2 linked regions of the Lonchura striata genome follow. The protein of the gene in region 2 purifies or fractionates together with the protein of the main gene of each other region. This does not show direct contact. Links are inferred from orthologs where the notes say so. Each region holds a gene or a part of one and is shown on either strand. Other genes may lie near its edges.

What was found.
Region 1: the proteins of NELFB (region 2) and NELFA purify together in Homo sapiens (affinity purification with mass spectrometry; 8 studies listed by BioGRID and IntAct, counting the BioPlex papers as one, with this or other methods). This does not show direct contact. The link is inferred for Lonchura striata from reciprocal best matches to the Homo sapiens genes NELFB and NELFA.

The regions. Positions count from the first base shown.
Region 1 is NC_134606.1:8,444,609-8,460,562, forward strand, and holds the start of NELFA (negative elongation factor A), read right to left. Parts: upstream 8,140-15,954; 5' UTR 7,852-8,139; coding exon 7,600-7,851; intron 695-7,599; coding exon 523-694; intron 1-522. UniProt on the Homo sapiens protein: Essential component of the NELF complex, a complex that negatively regulates the elongation of transcription by RNA polymerase II.
Region 2 is NC_134624.1:4,218,412-4,234,631, forward strand, and holds the start of NELFB (negative elongation factor B), read right to left. Parts: upstream 7,328-16,220; 5' UTR 7,190-7,327; coding exon 7,088-7,189; intron 6,953-7,087; coding exon 6,789-6,952; intron 6,622-6,788; coding exon 6,522-6,621; intron 5,301-6,521; coding exon 5,070-5,300; intron 4,130-5,069; coding exon 3,944-4,129; intron 2,949-3,943; coding exon 2,836-2,948; intron 2,076-2,835; coding exon 1,973-2,075; intron 1,050-1,972; coding exon 954-1,049; intron 1-953. Other genes in the region: ectonucleoside triphosphate diphosphohydrolase 2-like, read left to right, coding at 9,563-9,676, 11,687-11,804, 13,302-13,452, 14,211-14,370, 15,748-15,975. UniProt on the Homo sapiens protein: Essential component of the NELF complex, a complex that negatively regulates the elongation of transcription by RNA polymerase II.

The sequences.
Region 1 (15,954 bases), on a different chromosome or scaffold from region 2:
TTTTCAGCTGCTGGGCAATCTCTAGCTACTTGGCCAGCAGCAGCACAACTCTTCCCGAGATCAGCCTCCCTCCAGCACCTGCTGTCCAGACACTTCCAGCAGAGGCAGCCCCTGCCCAGGACAGTGGTGGTGCTTCCACACAAGACAGACTTGCTGTAATCTTGAGTACCACAAATGGGAGACAGAGCAACATAGAAAAAGCCTTTACTGACCAAGCTGCAGCACAGCCTGTGATACTAATGAGTCCACACAAACTTTTGCGCTGCTCTTCACACTCTGGGCGATAACTGACATTAAATTCTGATGATAAGTGAAAAGATAATTTAAGAAGCTACCATTCTCAAATACCACAGTTCCCAGTCCAGTAACATTCCAGGTCACGAACTGTGGTATTTCAGAGACACAACAGTGCTTGTTCTTGTATCTCTACTTTAGGACAGCAAGGCTGCCAGTGAAATGGCAGGTTATTCCTTAAAAAAAGGCACTACATTGCTGCAATTTTCACCAACATAAAAGGCTTACCTTTCTCTCTAAGTTCTCCTAAAATATCTTGAACATTGGGATTCTGTTCTTCAAGATCAAGGTTAAGGGAGCCAGTATCTGGAAAGGATTTTAAAATATCAGCTACCATTAAGACCCAGGGGTCTGAATCCAAGGTAGCGAGCTGGATAATTTCAGTCAGTGCCCCTTTCATCTAACAAAAAAAGAAAAAGAAAATCAACCAATTGGAAACAGTTTTAAACAGGTTATAGTTGGATTAATTTTAAAAAGATACAAACATGCACAATATTTTACTACTGGGGGAGGGAAGAGGGAAACTGTTTCCATACAGTTATACATTAACTCTAGAACCAAGCAAAGAATGAAACAAGGTAGTTTTTTTATACTGCTTTCAGCCAATCTAACCGAAGTTTTGTTTTCAGCTTTTGGAAGCTCAAAGCTTTGTTTAGCACTGGGCATTTTTAAAAGCAGCAGCAAGTTTTATATTACTGTCTCCTTCTGTTTTACATTCATACTTTCTGTGGACCCACTCCTTCTATTCAGTGATGGGAATATGCAAATACAAGTTATTTAGAACAGGCATCTAAATGAAGATGTGTCCCTTGCCAGCCTACAGCATAATTACACAGACAGATTGTATCTGCATCATAATTGTCTTCAAAATATTACTTAAGCTGAGGCCAAAACAACGTAATCAATACTCTATTGTTTGACAAAAAAATATGTATTATAGAAGTAAACACAGCCCTCTTAACATGCCCCAAGCAACAAGAATTTCCATCTACCCAAAGTAGCCAGAAAAAAAGTTATTTTTCTATTTTGAAAAGTGCAAAAAATTAAGTGAAATAAATTTTAAGTTTCATCTTAACAGCATTTTTTTAATTACTGACCAACATATCTGTTGGCACTGGTACGAAAATCAAAGGTGACTACAGTCAGGGGTTTACTTCATTCACAAGTAAGTGTAAACCCCCCAAGACTGAACTTTCTTTTTTACTAAGTAAATTTTCATGTAAGCGTGACAGCATTAGCTTCAGCAAACTAAGATGTTTGAGATATTCAGCATGTCTAACAAGCCACAAAACACAACAGTAAAATCACATAAAGTAGTTTACCATACTCTATCTGCATTGTATTAACACTGAAGAATGTACAAGCAAGTATAAGGAAATACGTTCATTTTGATTTTTCACCACCCATTGTGGCACATATAGCTTAGTTACAGTCATGTTTCTGAGCACAGGAAAACAAGCAAGAGACTCATCTTCACCTTCATGCTGTTTCTTTTCCTTTATTTATTTATTTTAAGCACTCTTACATGAAAAGGTTTAAAAAAATAAACTTACTCTATGCATACAACTCTAAATAAAAGAAATAAAAATTAAAATTCTGCTCCCCATTCCTCTCCCATCCACTTTTAAAGCTCAGAGGCAAACAAACATTGACATTTCTCAAGTCCTTTCATCTGCACAATGTTATTGCCCTCTCACTTTGAAAGAGTTTACAAGTCCACTCCAAAGTCAGTTTGTCCTTTACCCCCTGCATGTTTTAGGGCTCACACATTATGTGCTTGTGAAACAAACTGCATCAGTCCATCTGACCCAAAATGAGCACCTCCGTAGCTTTAAGCTTGACCAGCTCCTTAGAGTGAGTGACTGCAGTCACACAAACACCAGAACCACAGAGAGGAGCAGAAATAGGACACTACATGGGCCAGTTCCCATCCCACAGTGCCATTGATTTGCTTTGGATTAAACTGAGCACATAACCAGGAGCACACACTGTGTAATGTCCTGTCAAATTTAACCAATGCTTACCCAGTGGAAAGAATCAATTTCTGAGGTTCTACTCTTTGCTGATTCTCCATTGCTCATTTATTCCTCAATAAACATAACCCCACCACAACCTCCACACACTCATCCACCTCTTTATTCTAACCATGAACTCCTTAACAAAAGTCACTTAGGCAGTGGATGAGGATGACTATGAACACTATCAAAGCAAAGTCTTTTGTTCTTTTATCTATCCTAAAGGAATCAAGGTACTGATTTACAAAAAACACCTAAAACATCCCAGAAGAGCTGATGAATGCATAGCTTTTACAAGCTTTTCTGTGGACACCACTAATGCAGGCAAATGTACAGAAAGTCATTTCCTTCATCAAAGCAAAGTCAGGCAATAGCTAGAGGAAAAATGTCTCTTGCATCCTCACAATTTACCCTTCGTATCTACTTCACAAAACTCCTATTTGTACCAAAAATTCACATAGCTACATGCCTATACTATGAAAGTTCCTATGGAACGCTGGTGTGGGCACATTGCATCCCCTCTGCTCTCAGGGTTAAAGTTCAGGCAGCCTATTTATGCCCAAACCCACTGCTTAACAAGCTTTTAGTTCTTTCAAGAAAGCAGCCCAGAAACAATTTGTTTGCCTAGCATGGGGCAAATAACATTATCACAAGGCCTCATGACAGAAAGAACATGGTGAAATAGCAGTCACTATCACACACAGGGAAGCAAAGCACACTAACAAGTACTATGAGCTAACCAGAGACCTTGCCTGAATATGGGTTTGAATTTAACAAGCCTGGATTCGAGTTCTGACTTGGGTTTGTCTTCAAATGGATATTTAAATACATGTCCCCACTTCACTGTTCAACTGGCAGCTGAAAATAAACATTTTATTTATGCTTTGAGAATGCATAAAATGCAACTCATCAGGGAATCCTAAATGCAGTTTTCCTGTTACTTTACAGGGCACAGCCATAATCCCTAATTCTTAATTGCCTATGATTTCAACACTGGGTCATTAAGACTCTCATCAGTTCCAACCAGCATCTTGTTAAGCATGAATGTCAAGATCTGACGTAACATGTTCCAACGTCTTTCTCATCTAAAACTTAAGGATCTTAAGTATTTTATCAGCTTGCTAGCACACAAGGAAAAGCATAGGCCATGACTAGAAACATCTAGCAAATAGGGATCAGGCAGAATGGGAAGTGTCTGGGACACAGGCAGATTAATAATGGCTGTGCAGGAAGGACAAACAGGACTGTGGGAAGGTATTTAAAAGGAAGTGTTACAAGTAGCACACAATGTGACAGCTCCAAGATGATTATTTGCAAATATTTCACATTTATTTGTTTTGTATTCTGTCTAAGTTAATGTGTATGAAAATACTTTTAGACAGCTGTATCAACAGTTGGCTAATAAACCAAATGAAGCTTTAATCTTTCTGAGGCTATAGAAAAGATGATATTTAATAGGTAGCTGCTCATTATAGAGCATTTTCATGAAACTAAAAGCACTGGATTGAAAACACAGTATTAATATTTACACAATACAAACCCATGACAGGTTGGTACCACCACACTATTGTATGCATTTAAAGAATGAAAAAGAGCTAAAGTGGCCAAGGGAACTATTGGATTAAAATATACCATTTTACATCACAGAATAATTATGAACCCTAAGTGCAGGCCAGAAAGGTGCACAGCAGCCTGTGTGCTCTCAAGACAGAGGGAAATGCAAGTGTCATGTCCCCTCTTATTCCTTTGCACAGTACAAAGACACAGTTTTGATTTCTACTGTAATAAACAGGCAAGTCCCTGCTGGGCTAGGAATCCTCCTCTCAAGACAATTCAGAGAGCACAGAAGCACAGTCCTTGTTCCAGACTTGGTTGTAACATCACAGTCTAACCCTGAACAAATAAATTAACACTGGCATAAAAAGAAAATTTGCACTTGCCATTGTGAATCAGGTTAACAAGAATATGCAAAATAAACAGAAATAACAGTTCTGCCAAATTCACAACTGAAACTCTGGTCAGCACTATACTGAGCTTTAGGCATCATTTCAAATAAGTGCAATTATCTAGAAAAATATTAGCAGATGAAAAGCCATAAGATTCAAGAGTTTGCAAGTCCTTCCCAGAGAATTACAGTGGGAAAGGAATTTTTGATAACTGCCTACAAGACACAATTTAAAATGAAAATGAAAGCCAATTATTCTTATTAGTCAGCAGGAACAAACATGCAGCAATGAGGTTCACAGCATGATAAAAAATTAGTTTTATTACCTGTCCCACAAGAGTATTATGAGGATTAAGTCACTTATATCTATATAGTATTTGGAGTGTTGAATGAAAACATTATGAAAATTGAAAGAGCATAAAACTATTTAAGCGAAGAACTGAGCTTTCAAGAGGGGTCACTGAAGATTCACTTGTCTAGACTGAAGCTTTCACAGAGATTTAGAAAGGACCAGGAGCAATTAAATCCCTTTTAAAGCAAATACCACCAGTTTCCTTGATTCCCACATTGTTTTACTCAAATGTCTGCTCCCAAATAGTTTCCGCGTTATTCTAAGCTTTCGTGAAAATACTTCTATACAGAAAACAGAAAATAATTTATTTTGAAGAGAAAATAACTCAGTTTAATCTGTTATCTAGAGAGGGGAATATCTTTTAACAGGTAACATATCCTGTAGCTGCTATTGAGATTCCCAAAGCTCTACAAAGCTGATGCAATACATTTTCCAATACAATTAGGCTTCCAAATGCCAGCTCGGTGCTTCTCGCACTCGATCGATACAGACACAGGCACATGGCATGGCAAAGACATATGACTTTCCAAAGAGAATAATTAAGCACTCTCATAGTTCAGTTTAATCATTTTCAGACATGGGGGTGACTTCCAACACACAAGCAAAGGCTGCTGCAGAGAGATGTGCACAGCACAGCCATTCTGGACACAGACATATTTATCTATCTGCTGGATATTGTGTGCAAGGTACTCTCTGACAATTAAAACACTGAATATTTTGATACTAAGTTAGGTGACAAATTTGCACAAATAAAACTATCTTAGCAAACTAACCACAAATGATGAGCATCTGATAAGACAACAGTCCTTTCTGTCAGCAGTTTGGTTACATCAGCTATTTTTACCATCTATAGAAGGAAGCCTGTAATAATAATAACAGGCCTACCAACAATGTTAAGGGTTTCTGCCTCAGGAGTTTTACTATTTTAACCTTTATTTAAGGCCCTTCACCCAGTTTAAGGCAAAAAAATCTCATGTTCCTGAAACAATTAAAGATGCTAAGGGTAGATCTCAATCAATCATCATCAGTTTACAATAAAAGATTAAGCTTATGATTGAATTCATTAACTCTACCAAACTGAAAAATCCCACAGTATTTTCTTACAGCAGGAACAAGAGCTTTACATTTGGAACACAACAGATCACTTTAAGTACACAGTAAAAGGCACACTGACTGGCTTTTCTCTACACACACTTCATCTCCACGGCTAACACAATCACAGATCCAGGAAAGCTGCAGGCAGCTCTTCCTCGGGTTTGGTTTAAAACGTTCACCTAGTGAACACTCTTGAAGCATCTCAAATTATTTCAGTTTGTTTGTTTGAATGCTGCTCCCTCAAAGAGTTGCCATGAGTGCTATTTATGAAAGTCCTTAAGCTCTTTGAAGCTCTTTTCAATCTAAAAACACCACTGATTTTTCTAAACACTGCCATACTAATTTGCTACTTGGATGTTCACACTAAGGTCACAAGAATTTTGCAAACTCACAAGTTCACACGAGCTCCCATCCCCCTTTCTGGCCTTGATTATTTTGTTTGTCCAGAACACAACCCCATTTATCACCCACAAGGATGACAGCTTGTTCACTGGACAGGCACTAAACATGACTATCATATTTTAAAAATTAGCATAAACATGCTGAACTAGATTTTTTTTTTAAAGTGACACCAGTGTACCACAGTTAAGAATCATACAGATACATGTGGCAAGACAAACACTGTCATACACTAAATTATTTATTGAAGGTGATGCTTGCCCATTTTCAGCCTAGAAGTGCACAAAAACTGAGCGCACATCAATCCAAGTTACATACTACACCCTGCCTGGTATACATGTATATTAAGCTTAAGCAGCAGCTGTATCTTAGCCAAGAAAGAGACTGGTGAAAGCACAGCTGAGGATACTCTACAGAGGAAGGTGAAAACTAACCCCACACCACTTCCATGATCGTCACAAGGAAATACTACTTTACATGATGGAAGCAGGAGAGGAATTCCTCCAATCCGGCTAAAGAAACCTGAGATTTTCAGACATTCTCCAGCTATTGCCCCAAACATCTGCAGCTGCCTACCGGTAAGAATAAGCCAGGTGCAGATGAGGTATGGTCCAGGGCCAAGTGAAAAGCCTGCAGAGCCAGCTCAGATTCGAGCCAGCCAGTTTATTAACTGGGGTAGGACAACAGAGGAAAGCACCAACTGTTCCCAAAAAGGTAAAGGGAGGGAAACAAAAAGCATGGCAATTTTCCCCAATCAAGACCTGACTGCAGCAGGGTGGGGAAAAGCACTGCTCAGTGCAGACCCCAGATCTTCCACTCCCAAAGTTTCAGCACTTGCTGCTGTCCTCCCTGAAGCGAGATGCTCGACCTGTGACACCTGCACAGCTGCCAGTACTAAGGAAGGAGTGGAGGAAGCTGAACACATACACGACTGCTCCTACACGATCCTGCCTCTCTCCCAGCCACCGCACAGCCACTGCCTCAGAAAAGCCCTCTTCCCTTAAAGGCACCCCAAACACAGCCCTACAATGAGTCCCTGTGGGTCGCACAGTGGGTTTCATGTCCAAACTGCTTTCAAAAACCTAGTGCCAACCAGGGAATCCCCGAAGAGCAGGAAGAGGAGGAGCAGCAGCAAAGCTCCCACTCCACTCACTCCCTTATCGCGGGGAATCTCGGCGCTCTTCCTCGCACCGAGGAAGCGAGTCGGGAGACCTTCTTCACTTACTCCTGCCCCTGCAAGGAAGGCTGCGAGGGAGCGGCGGGGAAGGCTGTGGGGACCAGCGCTACCCCACGCCCCTGCCCTGAGGGGCTGCGGCCGCTCGGCTTCGCCCCGCGGGCAGCCCGGGGCTCGCCCTCCCCGCAGCGCCGTGTGGAAAATAAAGGGCGGGCGGGGGACTTGTGCCGGCACTGCCCCCCTTTCTCCCCTCACGCCATCCCCGACCTCTCCCCCTCACACACACGCGCGCCCCGCTTCGCTGCGACTCCCCCCCGGCTCTCACCTCATCCACCGCCCGGCGGGGCAGGTGCAGCATCCCCAGGAGCAGCTTGAGCTTGACGGCCGAGGAAAGGCCGTGGAAACAGAGACGGATGTTGTCGATGACCGAGGCCGTGAGCAGCGAGGCGATGCTCGGCGGCGCCCACAGCTCGTCCGTGGAGCCCAGTTTGTTGTGCAGCCACAGGCCGGTGTCGCTCTCCCGCATCGACGCCATCTTGGGAGCGGGGCGAAAAAAGAGGGGATTCTCGACGGGCATTTTATGAAGGCACCTAAAGGGAGGAAGGGAGGGGGTGAGGACCCCTGCGGGTCGCCGTCTTGTTCGTAAGCCAAAATGGCGGCGCCCAATGAGGTTGCGCTTGGGAAGGCGGAGGCTATGCCGTAACCTAAAATGGCGGCGCCCAGGAGGCGGAATGCAATAAGGCGCGTCTCATCTCTCGGCCAAATGCAAAATGGCGCCCGCCATAGCTTTCCGTCCGTAAAGCAAGATGGCGCCGCTTCACTGTAGAGAAGCTCCTCTGTCAGCCCCAACTCATTGTCCCTCACAGTCCGCCCTGACTCCTCCTGGGCAGAAATGGGAGGAGAACCGCTTGCGGGCCGCCGAGCCGCGGCGGGGTTGGAGGCAGGGCTTCCTGCCCGAGGTGGGCTGGCCCCCGCGCCTCCCGGCGCAGCGCTCCCCGGAGCACCACGTCTGCTTCCCTCACAGCCCCGAGCCCCGGCGGGGCGGCCGGCCCGCGCTCCCGCCCAGCGCCGCTCCCCGGCGCTAATGCCCGCTTAAAAAGCTTTCAGCCAGGGCTTCCGAGAGAGCCGCCAGCCCTGCCCGCCCGGAGGAGCCCGGAGGAGGGGCCGAGTATCTCCTCCATGGTTTCCCCGGAGATTGGCGTGCTGGGTGCCGCAGCCATGGCGGGCTTCCCTCGGTGGCTGCAGCGCCGGGGGTAGGCGCGCAGAAACCCGCACCGCATGCATTCGTATTCCCTAGCGACTCGGCTCGTTGTTATTTAAATATGAAAAAAATGAATCAATTTCCTAAATCCCCGAAGATTCAGGGGGCTTTCAAGTGCAGCATAAACGGTTCGTTTTAGCGCTTCTCTGGTTGAAACTAAAGTACAGGAGTTGCAAGAGTGCGGAGCATATTCTGCTGATCTTTCTCCTACGCTTTAGAATGAAAACGTTTTCTTTACAACATTCCGCCGTTAAAAGACATTGTTTACAACCTGATTTCTCTGGGAGAACAGAGCAATAGTTGCCGAGGTGCTCTATGTTTTCTCATAGAATCACATAATCCTTCAGGTTGGAAAAGATCTCGAAGATCACCGAATTCAAACATCAACCCGGCCACCGCTAAACCATGTCACCAAATGCCACATCTCCAGACTTTTGAACACTTCCAGGAATGGCGATTCTACCGCTTCCCTGGGCAGTCTTTCCAATGCTTAACGACCTTTTCAGTGAAAATGTTTTTCTTACTATTCAATCTAAATGTACATCATGGAGTCTTTTTTTGTTCATGCTACTGAGTGACTGCAGCTCTTGGGTGCTATAACTTCTGTCAGTGTGGAAGTATTTTGAGGCAAAGAGTTTCTGTGTGAATAAATTCTATATTAGTACATTATGACTTTTTCCATACCTAATAATGCATTTTTTTTGTACCATCAAACAATTTATACTCAAATCTGACTTAAGACAGAACTTTTGTATGGAGTGAGCTGATATTTTAGAACAGCAAAATCAAAGCTGAGGCAGTGTAGCACATAAATATCCAGAATTTCTGTTGATTTCTCAATATGTAAGTTCACTATGTAGCTGGGGGGGGAATTACTTCTCCACAAATACCTATGTATCTGTTGGTTTGAACAGAAAAAACATTGTATCTAAGACGCTGAGCTAAATTACTAAATTTGCTACAGAATATTTATATAAAGGAATATAACCTCATATAACAGGAAAGTAATTAAAGCAAAAGGTTTAAAAGTAGCTGTAAAGGAATTGCATTCACTTAGTCATATAATCAACATGTAATTATCACTAGTAACCTTTGCTCTCCATTAATTACATATAGCTGTTAAAGGTAGGCACCAGTATTGGTAAGTCTTGGGTACAATCTTATCTATCGGGTAAAATCCATGAGATAGTATAAAAAATCTAATTAAGCAAGGAAAACTAGTGATTATCTCATCTTTTAATTGTGCAAGAAAGTAACCAACCCCTTTTAAAATTGTTTTGGGGGAGGTAAATCAGAACATGTTTGCACAGCTGGTTGTCTTCAAGCAGTGGCTGTAACAGAGTTAACCTGGTTCTGTGAGATGACACAAACTCCACCAGTTCAGATGGCTGGACTGGCTGTCTTTGAAAGGGTAGCTCTGATTCCCTAAAGTTATTCAAGTTATTCTGGGATTTGGTGCTGCTTTTCTCAGGAGAGCCAAACTGCAGGCTGATGGAAGCTAAGGAAGGTTATTACACACACACCGTTCCTGTGCTTTCCTCGAGGCATCTGTTTTTAGACACTGTCAGTGTTAAGGCACTGAGCCACATGGCCATCTAGTCTGAGCTGCTGTGATGACTTTTGTGCTTTTATCTGAAGTGTGACTTGAGAAGGGAGCCTATTCTGTGATGTGTGGATTTGCATGGTCAGTTTGGCTCCAGCCCTATCACCTGCAGATTTGTCCCTCTGGCTCTTACCTGAAGAGGTATCAGACACTCTGGAGATTAAGACAAAGTGCCAGCCTCCTGTAAGAGCTTTTGTTGTGCCAGCTACTTGTACCTTAAATTTCTGTTGGAATTAAGTGCTTTTTTTTTTTTTTTTTTTTTTTTTAAACCTAAATTTTGTTTAGCTTGGGTAGTGATTTTCAGAGTGATATGCCAAATATAAAAAGGCTCATTCCTCAGGGATTTCTGGAGCTGGAAAAGGGGTACTTGATTTCTCTGGAATGTTTTGTATCCCTCAAGATGTTGCATTGCACAGATAACTGTCTGCAGATGTTTTTTCCTGTAAGTTGCAGGTCCCTATTTCAAAGGAGGTGATGTTGAATATGAAATTGTTGAGAAAAGTTGGGAGTGGAGTGTGCCACAAAATTGACCAGGGGGACACCCTGGAGTCATTCACTCACCCAGTCATGACAGTATTGAAAAAAGAGCCAGGCACAGGCAAGAGTTAATTTCTTTGAATCTGCTTTATAATACTTTTAACAAAGGTGAAGCTTTGTCTCACACCAAAACCAGTGCTCCATGAATTTCCCAACCTGCAGTTTTAGCTTGTTACCTGTTGAAATATTATCTATCTAGCCCTGTGCTATCCAGAGCAGAGTGCTGTGTCAGATTCAACATCATTACTTGTACCCAGCAGGATGTTGAGGGGTAGAGCCTGGAGTTCTCCTGGCTCGAGGGAAAGCAGCACAGCATCTGGTACACTCATGGGCAGAGCTTTCAGTTTGTGTTGGCTCTGATCTCTCAGTGAACAAGAAGCTGCTTTGCTGTTTTTAAGGAAGTGCTGAGGCATGTGCAGTAAACACGGCGTTGGCATGAGCAGTGGCACTGCATTCCCACTGGCACCTCATCCTGCAATGGCAAGTATGGTAGTGTCTGAGCCAGCAGGGCTTTAGGCTGTGATTCATGCCATGCTCACAGGGGCCAGCCCAGGAAGGGAGACAGAGCAGTAGATTGTGTATTATCATATAATTTATCCTTCTGCTCCCCCAGCATTGCCATCAGGACTGAATAACAGCTTTTCTGTGAACTTTTATATTTGTATCTTGAGTTCTAAATACCGCATCTTTTCAATAGGCTTTTAAAGCACTGTTTCCTATGTTTTCAAAGCAGAAAAAGGAGATAAATTTTATCCTTTGATATCAGGCTGGCATATAAGTTTACTGTGGGGTTAAGCATTTAGAGGTATCAGGGGCACTAATGGAGTAACTGGTAGTAGTACAAGTCTAATATCCTTTATGGTAACTGACAACAGAGGTTTCTCAGTGGGTCTAAGGTACACAGTTAATTGTTATTAAGCAGGAGATGATTTTATAAAATGGTATTTAATATCAGTTTAAAGACAGTTATAATTCAGTTTGTAAAATGCTGCTTATTATGGGTTAATGCAATTGTGTGGGTGCATCATTTTGTGTGGGAGTTTTATTTGACCCATTTTAAGACTGCTGTAGCAATGTGATCTGAAACAACACATGGGCTGAGAATTTACTCAAATAAAACCAGATTATCTGACTTCCTCAAGTCTAAGGCAAAGCTTCATTGTGGGAACCTCCTCTGTTAGCTGTGACACAGTCAGCTCCTTTCTCTGGGAGGCAAAGCCTCCAGCAGAAATAAAGATAAAAGCTACAAAAAATGTCCTGGTACTTCTTGTTGTGTGAATTGGCATGGCATGATGGGCAGTAATTGTTTCAATGTTTTTTTCAATGCTGCTCCATCCAGCTGCCTGTGTCCAGGATTATGCTTACATTGCTGTCATACCCTCTTGCAGCACAAGACATATAGTCACATGATTTTATGATTATTTTCCCTCTGAAATAAACTTCAAAATGATGCAGTGACTTAAAGCCAATGATGAAAAAGGCCCATGAAGAGGAAGAGGTTGAAATCAAGACTACTTTTCCTTCTGTCTTGCTCTAGAGCAGTTAAACTTGGTACACTCCTGCTCTGGGCTCTGATGTGTGGCTGATGGGGCCTGAACACTGAGGGTCAGCAGTGATAAAATAATTTCATTAAGGTCTCTGTACCTGAGACACCTACCTGAGAGGTCCCATCCTTGAGGAAACACCCATCTGTTTGGTTGCCTCTGCCACCTCTTCCATTGTCTTTCTTTTACTCTTGATTTTAGTAAGATTTAAGATAGATTAATATAACAAAAGGAAGAATTAAAATTGTTATTTAAAACATGAAACTATGAATGCAGAGCTCAATTAAGTTCTCAATTACTTCTAATAAATAAGAACACCATCACTGTGAACAGTCCAAATACCATTAATTAGACCTAACAATGTGTGAAATTAAAGACCATTAGAGGTTTTGAAAAACCCCTAGGACCTAAAACACAAAGTGTTGCACACAAATAAATTTGTTGTTTTAAATCCATATATTTGCCCATGCACTGTGCTTCAAATTGTCTCTGCTTGTGATGATATGGCCAAGTGGTAGAAAGGCCTTGCATTGGATCATCTGTTACTTGACATCTCATGGTATAGAATGTGTAAAGCATCCTATTCTTATTTTGCTGGAGGCATAATGCTTTCAGTAGCTGTCATAATGCAATTGTGCTGAAATGAGGGGTATTACAGGTTGTGACATAGGGCACATTGAGACAATGCTGTGATCTTCCACAAGGAAGTCATGAAGTTTTCAAGGAAGAATGCTTCCCTTTTCATAACCCCCTGGGACTTTGTTTGCCAATACCCATAAGTTTATTTCCTTTTTTCTCTCCCTCTTTATTATCTTTCAGAAACTATTCTTCATCTTATTTCATTTTTTTATCACTCTTCATGCATGTGGAATTCAGGAATGTAGGACTGGATGAGATGTCCTACGTGACCACTTGCTGTCATGTGCCATGTTATTACATCAGTCTTTTTATGAGCTATTAAACTCCATGTTGCAACTGGCTTGACTGTTTTATCCTGCTGCTGAAGGCAGAAGAGTATTTCAGAAACTCGGTGCTCTGGCAAGGATTGCTACCTTCTAATTTCCCAGCTAGACTACACCCGTTTTTATGAACAGCTTCTTCTCTTCTTTCTTTGCAAAGTGGATGAATTTTGAATTAAAGTAGAATTTTTCAGCCTCTGTAACAATTTCTTTGCTCCTCATTTATCTGTTTTAATGATATTTAATACTTTCCTTGCCACATCTCTTGATGGAGTCCAGGGTGCAGTTTGAATTATTTACAGTGAGAATGCACTGTTGGCCCAAATGGGCTTGTGCTCAGCCTGACATTAGCGTGATCCCTTGGTCCTTCTGTTGGGCTGATGCTCAGCCAGTTTCCTGCCTGTCCTCATGCCTGGGGTTTTCCATCAAGCCTGAGGTGTCTCTTGGCCTAGTCCTCAAATTTATCAAGATCTTTCTGGGTTAAGTTCTGCCAGTCCTCATGTCAACACTCCTTAATTTGGCATCCCTAAATGTGCTCAGGGTGCCCTCTGTGTCATCATCTGACACACACTGTTCTTCATTAGCTGCATGTCAGCCATTCCTTAAGCCAGTTTTCAAACCATCTGACAGACTGGCTGCCCAGCCCTTGCTCTCTTAAAAAAGGCTTTTTTTTGTGTCATTGTATAAATAAAAGTAGAAGATAACTGGGAGGTAGAAGAAGATAACTTCCATATAACTTTTTCTTTGTTAGGTTTTTTTTTTTTTTTTTTTTTTTTTTTTTTGTCATAGATCCCACACTGAGCACTTGAAGGGAGTTTAAAGCCCAGGAGCACAGAAAGGACACACTAAAATATCTGGATAGGAATTACTTTATCTATGTCTTAACCATACAGCATTGTGTTACATATGACCTTTTCCACTGTTTGAGACACTCCATGTGTGATACAGCTGGATGTTCCAGGTATGATTTGGGAGATGTAGGTATCTGGGCCTGAAACAATATGAGTCAGTGGAGAACTTGGATTTCACAGCCCATCTCTGCCTGCTCTGAATCCTGGTCAACAGTGGTAGCAACACAAGATAGAAGTACTCAAATTTAGAAGTTGTGAACTCTCATAGACAAAATTTCCTGCTTTTAATGGTAGCTTCTGACCCAGTGAGCTTTCCAGAGCTACTGCTGATGTATTTCTTACCCTAATAATTAAAAGAGAGATTCCTTAAGATGGTATTTGCTTGAGTTCCAAGCATAAAGTCAAAGAATCTCTCATACACACAAAATTTGATGCAAATCATTAATCAAAATATTGTAAAAATTTCACCCTGCTCTCCAGCTTGTCTGAATAAGCCATAAATACCAGTTAGTACCTGACAGTTAAGATCTCTGGTGTTAGTTCTCTGCTATGACAAGTGGAATCTTTTTTGAAAAACACAGATTACAGTAAGGAAAAAAATGCAGACATGTCCAATAAAATGACAAGATAAACGTATCTGAGGAATCTGGCTGAAATCAAAACATCTGTCATAGTTTAAGGGATACTATGAACTTGAACTATAGTCCCTTAAAGATAAATGAACTGAAAGCCTTTCAAGGTTTTTTATGCCAGTGAATTCTCTCCACCTATTTTTGTTTTAGCAATAACACTTAAAAGTGTTTTATTTTTGCTCTTTTCATTGCTATGAGAAAAATCCAAATAAGCAGGGGAAGATTACTAGCCTATGCCACAACTTAATAGGTATGTAGAGAACAATGTAAATTATAAATCTTTTAATCTTTTCTCACTTGTAATTTATTTTAAGCTTTATTTGCTTTATTGTACAAATGTTTCTTGCAAGTGTTTTACTTTTAAAGTAATACTTCTGTAATCTGTAAGAAAGGTTATGTTTATAGCAAAACATATTTTATCAGATGTAATTGGAAAAATAAACAATCTTGCAGGCTTACACTCCTTGTATTTGGTCTGTTTTCATCTAATAAAACATATTACCTCTCCTTCCAAACTCTTTTTTCTAGCACAGATTTTCTCAGCATGGCTGGATTTCCTCCAGAACTGAAATAAAGAATAACAAAATTGCAGCTTTTGGAGGCAGACTTAGAATATTTGTATGTGGTTGTTCATGAATTATTGAGACATTGCTACTCTCAGAACATACTGATATTGCATATCCATTATATGGATACTCAGATTAGTATGATGTGCTGAGAATTTTCTTTCTTTTTAGAAAAAGTTATGATTTCAGCAAGACTTTTTTGTATTCTAGTAACTGAGGAGGCATCCTGATGAACACATTACAGGGATCTTCAGATGGCGTAAATTTAGTTTACATGTACTATTGGTATCCTTTGGTGTGGTTCTGCTTGCCAGTGGATTGTATAGACTCAATCCCTGATAAAAATTCTTCTCACCATTTTATGAGATTTGTACATGTGTTACCCTGTTTAACAAAGAGGCAGCAAAGGAACAGGGTAGAGGAAATTCTGTGCTTAGGTCCAGGTAAGACAATTAGATGAGGCAGGTCTTTAATTCGATTCTCCAGCATCTCATTGGTGTTTTTTACTGAAGAATGACAGGATGATAGAATGGTTTGGGTTGGAAGGGACATTCCAGATCATCTTGTTCCAACCCACTGCCATGGGCAGCCTTCCACTAGACCAGGGTGATCAGAGCCCCATCCAGCCTGGCCTTGAACGCTGCCAGGGACAGAACATCCCCAAATTCCCTGGAAAACCTCTCCCAGTGCCTCATCACCCTCTGGAATTTAACTCTTCTGAAAGAGA
Region 2 (16,220 bases):
CCTTCCCAGCACTGCTGCAGGCATGGCATGTGTTCAGGATGACATCAAACTGCTGATACCAACAATCACTCACTGCCAGCATGGCCCAGGCTTATTTGTGGTAACATAACCACAAATAAATCAGGTTTCAAAGGCTGATTCAGAGACTCCCTTTGGAAAGAAACTGAGTATTTTCCCTTATAGGTTCATGAGGTAGCACAAATCACAGCACTACCTTCAGAATTACTGGTCACTCTTACTGCTACAGTCCCGATGTTATGCACACCCTCCCTGGGTGAATTTAAACATCCTAGCAGCCAGGAGTGGATGCATTTTGGAGACTTCAAATGTGCCCCTAGGTGTTTATAAAACATTTACTGCTTTATAGTTCAGAACAGAAACAGCAAATTCCTCCTAAGGAACAGCCCTACTGTGCAACACCAGGGTTGGCCCTCCTACCCTCAGCTGAACTACACCAGGGATTCCTGTAACACTGGGAAAGGATTTCCAAAGCATGTAAAGATTACAGTTCAATGTGGCACTACATTAAACTGCTGTAACAGAGAGCTGGGAGGAAAAAAACATTTTTCTTGTCAATGAAAAGCTTCTGAACTGCTACCAGAGTTTGAGACCAGTCCTGGAAATCCTGCTTTCCTCATGCAAGATGTGTTCTACAAACACATCAGTTGTGTGCAAGACTCCAGGAAAAATGAGAGAGCAATGAGCAACCAGTGGAGCATTTAGCAGAGGTACAGGCTGATTTTAGAACAGTAAGGACCAGGCATCCATAGAAATAAAAAGGTGGGTAATGGAAGCTCACAGCATGTCCAGAACAGCTGCTCTGTGACCACTGTTTTTTCCCCAAGAAAGCTGAGACATTTGGAGAACAAATGTTTAATCAGGAATGCAATAAAATAACAAACAAGTCTAAATTTGATTAATTGTGTTGAATTCTTAACATCAAAAGGGCTCACCATTTTTGGTTCCTTGAAGACTTGGCTGTCAATCATGTCCCAGGCCCCCTGTCCCAAAGACAGCATCCTAAGGAGCAGCAGCAGATCCGGGCTTTCCTCCAATTTTAAGGGGAGAAGAAAAACAGCTATTTTGATCTTCACATGAGATATTTATTTGGAAGAAGTGGTTTATATTCAAAGCTGTTCTGGATTAGCAGCTTTGTCCAAGACTGCTAAAGGCATTCAGTTCAAGTTAATTGAAAACTGATCCTCAAATGGGCATCAAATAACTGCCACACCTCAGGGTTTGTGGGGGGTAGTAAATTTATAATGCACCAGGAAGTCTGCAGCCACCTGAGCACATCTTTTTAAAATGTGTCCAGCCCAATTAGTGCACTAGAATATAATGTGTGAGAGGACAAACCAAGTCATTTCAGCAGAAGAAAGGAGGAGAAAGGGTGTGTAAGAACAGATTGTTTGTGTCCTGAAATCCAAATGACTTTCAGTCTTAAACTGTCACAAGGAAGTTGCTCCATGCAACAAGAACATTTAACAACTCAGGGATAAAACAGCAAGTGGCTCCCATTGTTCAGGCACCTGTCAGGGTGCCCTTCTTTAACCTTTCAGCACCTCCTGCAGACTCCACTTGCAGGAACTGTGTTTTATCTCAGCCACCAGACCAGAACTGTGCAAGCAAACCCATGGCATTCACCATGGCAGGAGAAAGGTGCTGCTGTCAGACAAATTGATGGAGGGACAAAGCAGGGAGGCACAGATTCTACATATTATTCTGTATTTGCACAGCTGCCAGGCAGAATGAGCCATGCAACGTTTGCAGAGTTCCAAAATGCCCACCATGTCCAAAGAGCTCCTGCAGAGCTCTGCAGCAGGTGCTGCAAATGGACAGGAATCATGTTTCCCTTGTTTCAACTGCCACATTTGGGAACTTAATGAGACTTGGATGGTGCCATTCCTTCCCTGATGGCTGTCAGTCAGCCTAGAGAATAATTCAGGTTAGCTACACAAGCTGCAATACTTACCCTGGGTAAGGTGTCCTGCCCAACCAGGTCTTGCAGGTGCCTTATGGTGCTCAAGGCTAAGGTGTTAATGGCAAAGGGATCACACAGGATCATTGATAAGTCCCTGAGAAGAAGTAAAAACCAAACACTTGTCATACATAACCAACAACCCCATTGTACAGGTCCAAACCCAGCTGTGTGCACCTCATAAACTTTGTCCTGCCTTGTAAAGAAGTAACATTCATGGTGGTTTTGATGTGAAAGAACACAAATAACAATTGCTCAAAGTCTTCTGCACTGAGATCAAGCACAAAATCTCCCACAGCCAGCTGAAGGTCCACTGGGAGACAGCCCACAGATAGTGAGGCTCTGGTGGGCCCAGCTCTTCGAGCTGGCAGGTTTTGACCAAAAGGTCCCAGAGGTTTTTGAAAAACAACAAGTAAAAATGAATTCTTGAGTAGCTTAAAATACCAATGGACAAAATCTTAAAAGTACCAGCTAAATAAAATACTGTGAGACAACCTTCCAGAATAAGTGTACCAGATCACAGCAGGATTGTCATTTGAAGCTAATGAAGCATTTTAACTGACAAACATCACCAGCCCATTTTCTCTGGGTTTAAAGCCAGACAAGTCATTAGTAATAAGTTATTCTGACTCTTTAAGAAAGGCTCCTGAATTTTGTTATGAGGCCACAGGGGAGACCACCAGGATGTGCTTGGCTGTGCCCCAGCACACTGAGGGATGTTTGGATGTGACTGCACAGAGGGGCTGCTGGATGTTTGGCTGGCTTTAGGGAAGAATTAACATCTACAGCATCTGTCAGGTGTTGTGAATGCTAGGAAGCCATTTTCAGTTTCCCAATTAGCAGCCCAAGTGCCTTACCCCAACACTTGTTCTTGTCCTTTCTTCACCCCATCCAGGAATCCTTGCAATTCCCGAGCTCTCTTGTTGTCCACGAACTTCTCCCGAATGCAGGCGTCAAGGCACCAGGTGAACTGTCAGCAGATGGAGGGAGCTTTAGGAACTCATTAAACCAGCAATAAAACACATGCTGTCAGAGAAAACAGGCTCAGAATGACCTCAAAATATCTCCAATTGAGGTGCTTCATTAATGCACCTGGGCACAGTACCACACTGGTGACTAACAGAGGCCAGAAAGGCAAACATCCCAAAAGGAGGTTAGGAATGCCCAGGGAAGTTAACCTGGGGTCGCTTTCTCCACTTCCAGGGAAGGCATTCCCTGGCAATTAAGAAGCAGTTATTAAATCCACCACCGTCCTGCACACCTGTGGATTTATACAAGTAGGGGACTGAGAAAGAAGCAGCATCACTTAGAAATAAAAATGTGGTTTATTTTGGTAATTGGAATAGCACTCCCACACTCTAAATAAAGGAATATTGACAGTGGAGGGGTCCCTGCTTTAGAGCTGTATTACTGAACTATTTTTTAAGCAGAATACATGTAAAACTTAACAACTACCTCAGAGAAAAGGCCTTGTTCCAGGTCAGAGTGATGCTATCATGAACAAGGGGCCAGTAACAAGATCCTGCTGTGACATTACCACATCTGTAATTCCTAATATTTGAATAGTTTCATGTTTTCTTATAATTCAATATCCAAAGTATTTACTGTTACACACAGTTTACTGACAGATGGAGCATATCCAAAACTGGGAGGGGAGCCTGGAGTAAGAACCTGGGGCCAGCTGGTGTTTTTTATTATTTCTGCAGCATCTACATAGAATAGATGTCAGATTAGACATTGCTTTTAACACTGCCAAAGTACCCTAAGCTTGAACGATTCATGGGTTATGAGATAAAAGCAAACTGCTGGTTAACCAAGATGAAGTTTTCACCCAAAAGTTCAAGGAGTGTAAGATGACATTTAGGTTTAAGGTCTGAAATCTCTTTACAGAAAGGATTCATCTTCTCTGGGCTTTTTGCAGAAAATTGTCCATAAATACCCCTGTCTGTCCCATGTGATTGGTACCTTGTGACAGGGATCAACAGTGCAGATGTCACTGATCTCCAGGTCATGCAGTGACATCAGGAGCTCTGCCCTCAGCGTGCAGTAATGGACGTTCCTGGTGCGCAGGAACAGGGTCCTGAGGAACTGCAGCACCATGTCGTAGAGCTTCACGTTCTTCCCGATCATCTGCGTCAGCTTCTGCACCACCTGAGCTCAGAGGGAACACGTGGGCTCAGCACCAAGAGAGGCTCTCATTCTACACACACACAAATGTCAATTAATTATGTTATCTGATTTACCGAGACTGAAGCATCTGCAGGGACATGAGGTCCTGAAAAGGAACTGTTTACCCCAAGATTTCCAAGAGCATTTGTTCAAGAGATGTTCACCAGATCTTCAAAAACCAAAAGCTGCCATAACCTGGTTTTGTCCCAACCCACAGATTCTTTCTTCTACCCTTCTGATTCTCCCCCCATCCCCTCAAGGAGAGTGACCAAGTGGAGGTGTGGTGCTGAATGTCCAGCTGGGGTTAAAGCACAACTCTGCAGTGCAAACCTGGAGTAAATTGCACAAGGGCATTTACACCAAATGATTCTGAAAGCAAAACAAGCCTAAAACAAACCCTCATGTAACAGATGTGCTGTGCTCTCTGAAATTAAAACTATACTGCCTTAATTTAATTCAACTTTTCCGGATGCCAATTAACTACAACTTTCTACATAGTTTTTTTTTAAAAAAAGCAACTTCAGTTGAAATACATCTACTAAAAAAAGTCCTAAGAAAGCGAATTTAACATATCAGCATAATCAAACTGATGTGGTAAGAGATGTTCAGCCTTCAGAACAGCTGAAGTGTATTAAAACCAGACTGACCACCAGAGAAAAAATCTGCCCTTTCTTTTTTTGAAGTGTATAAACAACTTAGAACATTCATCATTTATTACACAACAATTAAAATAATTCCTCCTGCTTTTATCAAAATGTGCAGGAGAAAATGGCCTGGTGCTTCCTGCAAAGAGTTTGTTCAGCTAAACAACTGCAGCAGTGAAGATGGGCAGAAAAAAACAGCTCAGGTTATTTATGTGATGGTTGACTGAAAGCTGGTAATTCCCCTCACCAGCACATTGTGAGGGTTTCCTTGTCCTTACCTCTCCTTGACGTCTCGTTTTGGGAGATGGACTGAAGAAATTTTGCAAGAAGGAAATATCATTGCTGAAGAGAATGTTCTCCTTCTCCAGGATGTATTGCTTCAGCAAGGGTGACACCTCATCCCCAAAGAGAGCCTGGTTGTCCTGCCAGATCTGCCTCTTCACCTCCACAGCACAGGCCTTGTACAGGTCCTTATCAGCCATCACCAGCTTCAGCTTCTTCTCAGGGACCTGCAATCCACAGAGCAGGTACAGAGTGAGCAGCACCTCACCTCCCTGCCTGTCCATGTAACCATCTAAATCATGGAATCAGAGAACCTCCTGAGCTGGGAGGGACCCACAAGGATTATCCAGCCCAGCCCCTGTCCCTGCCCAGACCCCCAAAATCCCACCCTGGGCATCCCTGGCAGCGCTGGCCAAAGGCTCCTGGAGCTCTGGCAGCCTCGGGGCCGTGCCCATTCCCTGGGCAGCCTGGGCAGTGCCAGCACCTCTGGGGGAAGAACCTTTCCTGCTCTCCAGCCTGAGCTGCCCTGGCCCAGCTCCAGCCGTGCCCTGGCTCCTGTCCCTGTCCCAGGGCAGAGCTGGAGCTGCCCCAGGAGGAGCTGCAGCCCCGGGGAGCTCTGCCCTCAGCCTGCCCCAGCTGAACCATCCCAGTGCCCTCAGCTGCTCCTCACGGGCCCCTCCACACCCTGCACCATCCTTTTAACATTTTCCAACAGCTTTAGATGTTTTTTCATCTTGTGCCCAAACAGCCCCAGGACTCAAGGTGAGGCAATCCTCTCCATGCCGTGATCCCCACCTCAGGCAGTCTGGGCATTCACCCACCTGGTGTAGCAGTAGACCAGCCCTAAGAGACTTCAACACCCAAATCACACACCCTTGATTCTTTCAAAGAAGAAAAAAGGTCTACTTTAAATCTCCAGTGCTGAGATTTGAGGTGATGTTTCCAAGCTCAGTAATTTACTGAAGTTCCAGCAGTGTTTTGAGTCCATTACATTGAGTGCAACATGATGCTTTTAGTAAGGATTTTTGTTTCACAGACCTGATTCTCCCTCCTGCCTACTTTTAATTGCACTTTTCAAGCCTTACCTTCCACTTGTCAAAGATTTGCAAAACAGTTGTGGAAAAATTCACCTATCAGCAAACTTGACTTTTTAGGAAGCTGCATGGATTGAAGAAAATAGGGAAATAGTCTCGTCTGATAATGAAAATGTGAAAGGCTTTTTGAATTAGTCCACTGAGCTATTAGCAGATACAAGAATGTGTTGAATCCTCAGTCAGTTCTTGACACTGAAAAACACACTTGCAGAAGGAGCAGAGGGAGCAGAGCCTCCCTGCCAGAGGCACAGCAGAGACGTCACACCAGAGATGTCACACCAGAGATGTCACACCAGAGATGTCACACCAGTGACATACCACATCACACCAGGCCAACCAGTGCAGTGGTCCCACCTTGGGCAAGTGCTTCATGACACACATGACCACGGGCTGTATCGAGGGCATCTTGACCAGGGAAAAGCTCTTCTCTAGGAGATCTTCCAGCTTCTTGTATCTGAAATCATGGGAAAACATGAGACTAGGTACCACGCAGCAGTAAAGGAACGAAGTGGCCACCTCAAAGCCACTGGAACTCGGACCCTGAAGAGCCCAACTCTCCTTTAGAGAAGTCACCCACCCACTGTATTTTCACACAGAACTCCCAGGAGGCTGCTGACAAACCTCTCCTCGACCTTCCCCTCCAAAGCGATGGCAGAGACTCTCTCCAGCAGCTTCTCCCGCAGCTCATCGAACACGGACTGGTGGAACTCGAGCCGGGGGGTGCCGTGAAGGTCCAGGAAGGGCAGGGCATACTGCAGCGAGGGCAGCAGCACCCCGTTCTCCGTCTGCAACACAACCCGCCGAGGGAATGACAACGGCACTCGGGATTACAAATACAGCCAGGAAAAGCCCAGAGGGCGCTGGGGGCCGTCCCGTGCTCGCTGTCCCGCACGGCCCGGCCCCACACGGCCCCAGCGCACCTGGAACTGCTCGATGGCCTTCAGCGGCTCCGTGCAGTTCGTCAGGGTCTCCTTGAGGTCCTCGCCGTTGGCCACTCCCAGCTCCTGCAGCCCCGCGTACATGTCGGCCCGGCCGGGCGCGGGGGCCGCTCCAGGTGCCGTTCCCGGCCCTGTTCCCGGCCCTATTCCCGATCCCGATCCCGGTGCCGATCCGGTTCCCGGTCCCGCCTCAGCTCCCGCCCCGGCTCCGCGCGGTCCGCCCCAAGCCGCCCCGCGGGCGGGCCCCGCGCCGCAGCACGGAGGTTCCGCCGCACCAAGGTTCCGCGGCGGCTGCCCCGGGCTCCCCGCGGCCCGAGGAGCTCGGTGCGGCTCGGCTGAGCGCCAGGCAGGGCGCATGGGGCTCAGGGAGCCTTTGGACAGCACATGCGATCACGGAATGGTTCGGGCTGGAAGGGATCATAGACGGTCATCTAGCCCCACCTTCCTTTCCAAGCAGGGTCATCCCAGAGCACACGGCGCAGGATTGTGTTCAGACTGTTATAAATGAAAATTTGTCCAGCCAAATTAAAATGAAATATAAAATATTTATTTTGCAATCAAATTCTATCTAGCCAGCCACAAGGAAAGAACAGAGCCGAGCCCGGGGTCAGCCCTGGGTGTGCCACAAGGAGTCAGCCCCAGCAGAGGTTTTCCTCTGTGCCCACACACCTCCAGCCTGGCACAAGCGGTTTTTATAGGGAAAATTCCACCTGAGGCCAAGAGTTCAGCAATCAGTCTTTTCTTCCATTCAGAGCCCATAGGTTAATGAGATTTTCTTTTTTGGGGATGAAGAACAATTCAGTGCCAGGAGTTGGTGAATCCCTTGATGAAGTTTACGGGAACGCTGCATTCCCATGGATCTGCCGGAGGATTTCCATGAGATCCATCCCGGGTCGTTCACGCCATGATCAGCACCTGGGGTCCCCAAATCTCTCTAGACATGGCCCATCCCCATCTCCTGGCCAAGCCACATCTTTTTACTTGTAAATCAGTTTCTAATATACACCCAGTCTCACCTGCGAGGGTGGGGGGCCTAATACAAACGAGCAGAATCTAACAAGTATCCAATATTACACATTTCATACAAGGAATGGCGCTAATTATGTTTACTACACATAACCAGACGGTTCTGGAATATCTCCAGTGAGGGAGACTCCACTCCCTCTCTGGGCTGCCTGTTCAGAGCTTGGTCACCCCCACAGCAAAGAAATTCTTCCCCATGTTCAGGTGGAGCTTCCTGGGTGTCAGCTGCTGCCTCTTGTCCACTGCTGGGCACCAGCAGAGTCTGGTCCATGCTCGGACACCCCCCTTTAGATACCCATACACACTGATGAGGTCCCCTCTGGGCTGTCTCTTCTCCAGGCTGAACAGACCCAGCTCCCTCAGCCTCTCCTCACAAGGGAAATGTTCCAGAGCCTTGGCCAACTTTGCAGCTCTCCACAGGCCCTGCTCCAGGAGCTTCCACATGGTGGGACTCTTGGGAGTGTCCTATGCAAGGCTAAGGGTTGGACTCGATCCTTGTGGGTTGTTATGGACAAATTCAATTGGGGAGGCTAATTATAGATAAATTAATTAACAAGAATTTATTAAGCAAGTGGTATTAAGCAAAAGGCAGCGCTGGGCAGCTGGGGAGTCTCTTCTCTATCATGGTGCACGCCCTCCCACTTTGACTTTTTTTTAATAGTCCTTTTTTCCTTTTTAAACCTTTTTATTTATTACATGGGTCACTTCCAAGTTCCTGGGGGTGTCTGAGGCTTCCTCATGGGCAGACAGCAATGAAAAGAGGAAACCACCAAAAACAGAGATGTGGCCTTTCCCTATTCCTGGTTTCACCTTCAGATCTATGACCAGTCTGTGGACATGAGCAATCAGCCAAATGCCTCAGTGCAAGCAGCCATGGAGTTTTCTTCTGAATTTCCATTTGCAGGGATGAGACTTTGTGGCACTGTCAGGAGAAAGCAGGCGTGTGTTTCAAGAAGCCTGAGCCTTGGTTGTTTTCCACAGGGAGGCTGTCAGAGAGGCTCATGCCCTCAGAAACAAAGTAAATCCAATAACAAGCAGTTTCCCCAGCTTCTAATTTGAAAGCTCACGCTGCCAGATGTGGAATACCAAAGGGATGAGTTTTGCCTGCCTTCTGCTGAGTTAACCCCACATTTGTGTTTACCTCAACCCCGCTGCCTGGGGCAGTTTCGAGGTTGCAGCGGTGCTGCTGCACAGCTCGCACAGGGATGGGCACAGAGCCCTCCTGTTATTTATGGGCAGCAGGGATGGAAGGGAAAGCAGAGCTCCCTGACACATCACAGCCAGGCCCACGCGTCCCTGTGGTCCCTGTGGCTTGGGGCTGGGCTGAAGTCAGAGCCGGGCCCTGGCCACGCCTTTCTGCTCTTTTTAAAGGTTATTAAAGCAGCCGGTTTGCTGCTCCACTGCTTCCTCTTTGGTGAAAGGAGAACACTCTTCATGTCTTGGCGAGAGCTGCTTCCCCCCTGGCTGGTGATCGTAGCGGGGCTGACGGGCATCGTGCTGCTCTGTGTCTCCACCAAAGATGTGCCCGTGGCCCCACTCAGGACCAAGGTAAGGGCTCTCCAGGGGGGAGACAGGCAGCTAAGCTGGGCTGTTTTGTTGCTTTTGACATAATTTTATTATTGAGCTACTTACAAACCGAGGAGGGAACTGAAACAAGACTGTCAGGACAGGTTGGCGTCTTTCAACATGCTGTAGGTTTTCAAACCAGAAACAAGCCCCCTCCTTTGATTGGTCATGGAATGCGGGCTGGATATGGTCCATGGATCAGTGGAGATGCTCAGGGCAGGCTGAGGGGAGGCAGCCCATGTCAGGAGCTGCCCCAGAGCAACAAGGAACCAGTGGTGTCAGTGCAGGGAAAGAGCTAGGTCCCTCTCAAAAGTCAGTAGGAATGTGCCCCTGAACTGCTGCTTCTGTCTTAAAAACAAATTGTCTTTCATGCCTTCTTCTCTTTGGTCCTGTCTTGATTTCAGTCAAAGAGCTGGTGTGCTCCTCACAGCTGGGTCAGGTCTTGGGGGGTTAATGCTCACCTGCTCTGTCTCTTGATGCTCCCATTGCTGAGGTGAGCTCAGTGGCACACCGTGGTTCCACCCAACAGAAGGAGGCTATCCTGGGTGTTTAGAAATAGCACCCCTCCTCCATGTTCCTCTCAGAAACAAAACTCAGTTAAAACCCCTCTTATTGCTCCTTGTTCTGTCCTTTCCTGGTGTTGAGCTGGGCATAAATGTGGTGATCCCTCCCCTTCTCCCTTGGGCTCTCAGCAGCAGCCTCTAATTTTCTGAAGGAGAAAAAAAATTCCACGTTTCTCCACCAATGCCATTCCTTTCTTCCTCTTCTGCAGCAGCCAACATGTCCCTGCTAGAAATCCGAGCTGTCACTGGTGTGGGAGGGTGCCAGCAGGCTGGGGCAGGGAGCTCCAGCCTCCTTCCGCATTGCTGCTCCAGCCCAGCCCCACCAGCCCCTGGCCTGGCTGCCAGGACTGGTGCAACTGGGAGCTCCAGGAGGGCAGCAGGCAGCCAGCCTCACTCAGAGCCTGCAGCCAGCTCTGGCTGGTGCTGAAACCCTTCTGGTGGCATTAACATCAACCTCTCAGGAGGTTTCTCCTCCCACTCAGTCACAGCTCTATTTGTGTGTGAGATCCAGCTTTGACCACGCACTAGCATGCAGCTCATGAGTTTTCTTCCTGTCTGTGTAGGAGATGTCCCAAACTGGGGTCATGTAAGAGGAGCAGAGGAGCCCTAGGTTAGCTCTGGAGCTATTTTGGGTGTGGGGACAGCCAGACCTGTGCTGCAGGGTAGTCCAGTGGCCTCCCCTTGCTCTCCTTCATATTCTGGAAGCAGCAAGGCTTGGTCAGCAGCAAACAAACACTGGGGACAAGGAGACAGAGAGCCCTTGGTTTGGGCAATAGCAGAGCTGCCCGGGGACAAGGGGTGAGCTGATCATGTCTACTGCTGCTGCTCTTCCTGCCAAGACATCATCTCTGTCTCTGAGGGGCTGCTGTGTTGAACAGCGTCTGTGCTGGTTGCTGCAGCTCCTACAGCTCTGCACACAAACCTAAGCCTGTGTCACACCCTCACTGCAGTGGGACATCAAAGAGACACAGGAGTCCTGGGTTTCCTGGGAAAAGTCAGCTGCAGCCCTCCAATTCCTGCACAAAAGCCTGAGCAAACCAACCAGCAGCAGTTTGAGTCCCAGAATCAGTGGAGAACAGTGCCATCTCCCACTGCTTTAGGACCTGTTTTTCCTGAGCTCCAGGTGGCTCAGCTCTCAGGGGAAGCCCTCTGCCTGGTTTCAGGAGCAGCTCCAGTGCATGCCACTGTAGGGCTGATGTATTTCTGGGCGTTTCTTCACTCCTGCTGTTCCTCATATATATTCAGAAACGCAGATGGTTCCCTGCAAATCCTCATCATGTTCTGGCTTCACCTGCTCTTTGAATGTCACAAGCAAACTCAAGCACTGCAGTGCAGACCCAGAATACCTATATATGCTTGGTAACCCTACAGAATCAGTCAGCATGCATTCACTAGTGTTTTTCAGTAGAATGTTCTGGGGTTCTTCCAGTATGGCATTGTTCTGGATGCTGGCCCATCCCGCACCATCCTGTTCATCTACCAGTGGACAACCACCAAGGCAAACAAGACCGGGGTGATCAGAGGATGCAGCTCCTGCCCTGTGCAAGGTAAGGTGCCCATTTCCTGCTCAATGGTCCATGCAACTGGCATGGGATGGATGGAAAAACAGAGACCTGTGCATGGACCAGTGCCATAAATTCCTTGGCTCCCCCAGCTGTGCACAGAAATAGTAAAGCACAAGTTGCTTATTTTCAGCATAACTCTTCTCGACTGGGTGGATTTAGCCACACACAGTTGCACATCAGGCCCTTGGCAGTAGCAGGTGTCAGGATTTTGGGGCTGCTGCAGGCAGGGAAACATGCAGAGAGGATGTGGCTTGTCTTGATGTGCACATGGATCAGTGATAGAGCCAAGGTTGCTGGAGCTTCTCACCCAGGAGAGGCAGTGAACAGCAATGGAGACAAATCTGACTGCAGGATGACTCCTAGTATCTTCTCCTGACTGTGGAGAAGAGGAGGACTCCTGGCCTCCTCCTGACTGTGCCCTGGGCAGTAAGTGGGGTAGCTCCAGGACAAGAGAGCTGCAAAACTCCAATTCCCTATATCGCATCTGACAGCACAAAATGAGTTCAGCTTGCCTTTAGGTGTTCCCATTTCAGAGAATTTGGCGGTTTTCCTCATTAATTTGAATCAGTTTGGCCCTGCCAATGCCAGCTGAGAGGGTTTCATGCATTAATACATGGGGTTTTCCTTCCCTATCTCCTAATCTTGCTTTGATGTTAAAGCCTGGTTATAGTGGGATGCTGGGAAGGACTGAGCCCTCAGCAGCAACGTGCTGTGGGAGGGCAGCTGCACAGCAAGCAGGGAACAGGGTTTGTGCCCTTGCAGGCTGTAAACAACTGAAATCACACAGAGAAGATGCAAGAAGGGCTCCCTGAAACCTTGTACATGTCCCTCGTTCAGCAGCTGGGTTAAGCAGCAGCTCTGTGAGGCAGTTTGCTGCCAGCAGCAGCACAAGAGGCCCAGGCAGGTCTCAAGCCCCAGTTTGAGGGGCCCTGTCTGCATGGCAGCACAGCCACAGAGAGCAAAGCACGTGGTGAGGGAATCAGGAGAACAGCAAAGGGAGACTCTTCCTGGGTAGTAGTTCAAAACCAACATTTAAGACTCCACTGACTGCTGGAAAAATGAGTCAAGGCTGGCACACAGCTTCCCTCTGCAGAGCACTGGCTTCCTCTAGGGCAGGGGGCTCGATGGCTGGAGGACAGAGGTGATACATCAGCCTCTGTGTGTCCTTTGCTTATTTCTATAGCAACTAAAGCCACATTTCTTCCTCTGTGGGCTGAGACAGCCTCAGCTGCTGCAGCAGTCATGTGGCTGGTAGAGATGTCTCATCTGCAGAGCAAAGGTAGTCTTAATGTAATTTGGGATTTCTATGCACGTTTTGGTCTCAGTTCCATATTTTAGCAGGATGGATACCTGGAAGACCTCCTTCATCCCACCTGTGACAGGTTCTGTCTTACCCATGGATAGCAATCTCTGGGGTAACAGCTCTCACAGTTCTCCCATAACTTCCCTTAAAATTCCATTCTGTTCCATGGTCCTCAGGTCCAGGAATCTCCAGCTACTCAGATTCTCCTCAGAAAGCTGGGAAGAGCTTGGAGCCATGTTTGAACTGGGCCCAGAACGAGATCCCAGCAGAGCAGCACAGCCAAACCCCCCTGTACTTGGGAGCCACCGCCAGCATGAGGCAGCTGAAGTGAGTGAATGTTTCAAACCCACACCCAGAGACCAGCACACATCAAGGCATCATTCTGTAACAGGCATCTCACCCTGTCTGCTCTGCAGTGTGAGCCATCCCTAATCTGCTAGCCAGCTAAACCTTCCTCAGGCCCTGAAGAGAGGAGCATGGCATGGCTGTGTCTCCATGTGTTGCCTCAGGCAGCCATGAAGATGACAGTCCTGCAACTGCTGCCAGGTTGACAGTGTCTCCTTCACTATTACACTTTCACAATTAGTGCCTGGGAAAACACCCATCAGTCTGGAAGCTGAAGTGGTTTCAGTTTGTGTGACAGCCCACATGGGCTTGCAGGAGTGCTTCTTGTCAGCAAATTGGAAATGGTGGTGGGAAGGTTCACATTATCACACAGTCTTGTGGACCTTCTTCTCAGTCACCACATTACTGGGACCTTTATCTCCTTTTAGACACTGGGGAAAATTAAGGTCAGGAGAGGACCAGGCCAGTGGGATAGGACCAGAGGATTTCCTCAGTGACAGAGGGTACTAAGGTCCTAAATTCTTAAACAGTGGCACAGTTGTTCAAACCAGCCCTCTGCTGTTCTTGCCTCCAGTGCCATGCGAGGAGAGAGGGAAGCAGGAGTGGGATTGTCACTGTGTCTCTGGGCTACTACCCAAAGTAGGGAGCACAGCAGAAGCCCTGCAGTGTGTCCTCACTGCAGGCAGCTCCTGGCAGGGTCCTGTAACATCAAATGTACCTTGTTTTTCTTTTGTGTTTAGCCTCACCCATCCCATCCTCTCTGACAGTCTCCTTGCAGCTCTGACTGGCACCCTGAAGTCATCCCCCTTCAGCTTTCAAGGAGCACAAATCCTGTCCAGCCCAGAGGAAGAAGCATTCAATTGGGTTGCTGTTAACTATGTCCTGGAGAACTTCTTCAAGGTAAAGGATGATTCTCCCTGGGGCACACAGAGCTGGGCTGAGCAGCTCCTGTTAACAGACAGCCACAGAGACAAGTGGTGGGATGGGCAAACCCCTGTACTTAAAACAATGCTTCAGTACAACTTCCACTGCCTTTCAGAGGAGGCAGCTTAGATCCAGCACCAGCTGGTTGAGGTGATGTGGCACAGGGTGCCCAGAGCAGCTGTGGCTGCCCCATCCCCCCATCCCTGGAAGTGTCCAAGGCCAGGTTGGATGAGGCTTGGAGCAGCCTGGGACAGTGGAAGGTGTCCCTGCCCATGGCAGGGGGTTGGAATGAGGTGAGCTTTAATATCCCTCCCAACCCAAACCATTATTGGATTCCATGGTCATAACTAGGCTGAAGAACCCAATCTCTGCTCTGGCCTTCCATGAACACATCCATGCAGTTGCCCTAACAGACGTGAGACTTTTTGGCCAGCACATCCAGGATGCTCATGTAGATGACCTTACATAGCCTGGCCATGGGGCATCAAACAGGAGTTTCTGCTGTTTGTGGAGTGCTGTGGGATTGCCACTGGAGTCCAGCTGTCCCATTGGGAGTCTTGTGGGTGGTAGAGAAGCAGATTCTGTTGCTGCCAAACCAAAAGCCACTCTCAGTGAGACAGCAGGGAGACCTGTTCTGTATTTAGAAGGCACTTGTTAAACAAAAAGAAAATAATTTCAGTTTTCTTGTTTCACCCATCACTTCTTAAGCCTAAGAACTCAGAGGGCAAGAGAAAGGTGGGTCAGACTGAGTTATTCTTCATCAGGGATGTGAAAAGCAGTTCTGATAGCCAGCAGCAAGCACACACTGGTTAGGGAATTGTCAGACCTGTTGACAGTAGGTTCAGAGTGTTCAGATTCAGACCTCCTCCAGCCAGCTCAAAGTGTTTACCCCATGTAAACTCTCCTGCCTGTCCTGTGAACTTCAGCATTGCCAAAGTGAGTTCTGCAGGACTGCAGGAGATGATGCCACAGGTTTCTGACAGAAGGATCACTTTAGCATCAAGGCAGCACTTGAAACCCGTATCTGCCCTCTTGGAAATGTCGCTGCCACTCCTCACCACCCTCACCACTGTCCCCTTCTCCTGCCTGCTGAGAGCACTGCCTAGTGCAGCCATCCAGGCTGGACAGACCTGTTTGCCCCCACAGGCTGCTCTGTGCAGGTGACAGTGGCTGTACACTGGCTCCTCTGTTCCCTCTGAAGCCACTGGTTCAGCATCCTTATGTGGTCAAAAAAGTGTTGGGCTATGGGCACTTTCAAGCTGCTTTCTCTCTCTGTGCACTAATGCTGGCATTTGGCTGTGACTGAGATGGAGAAGTCTCAAGGATTGACCTCTCTCGTTCTTTTTGGGTCAGTATGACTGGCAAGGACAGTTGGTCCCCTCCAAGAAGGGGATGGCAGGAGTCCTGTCCGTGGGAGGAACCTCAGCACAGCTCACTGCTGAGCTGGAAGAAGAGAAGCAGGCCCCAGAGGAGGGAGTGAGGCTGCAGCTCTATGGGCAGACACACAGGGTGCACACCCGCCAGTGCCCCTGCCACGGCACGGAGCAGCTCCGCCGCAGGCTGCTCTGGGTGCTCATCCAGGTGAGTCTCTGCTCTGGGTGCTCATCCAGGTGAGCCTCTGTGCTCATCCAGGTGAGCCTCTGCTCTGGGTGCTCATCCAGGTGAGCCTCTGTGCTCATCCAGGTGAGCCTCTGCTCTCATCCAGGTGAGTCTCTGTGCTCATCCAGGTGAGTCTCTGTGCTCATCCAGGTGAGCCTCTGCTCTGGGTGCTCATCCAGGTGAGCCTCTGCTCTCATCCAGGTGAGCCTCTGCTCTCATCCAGGTCA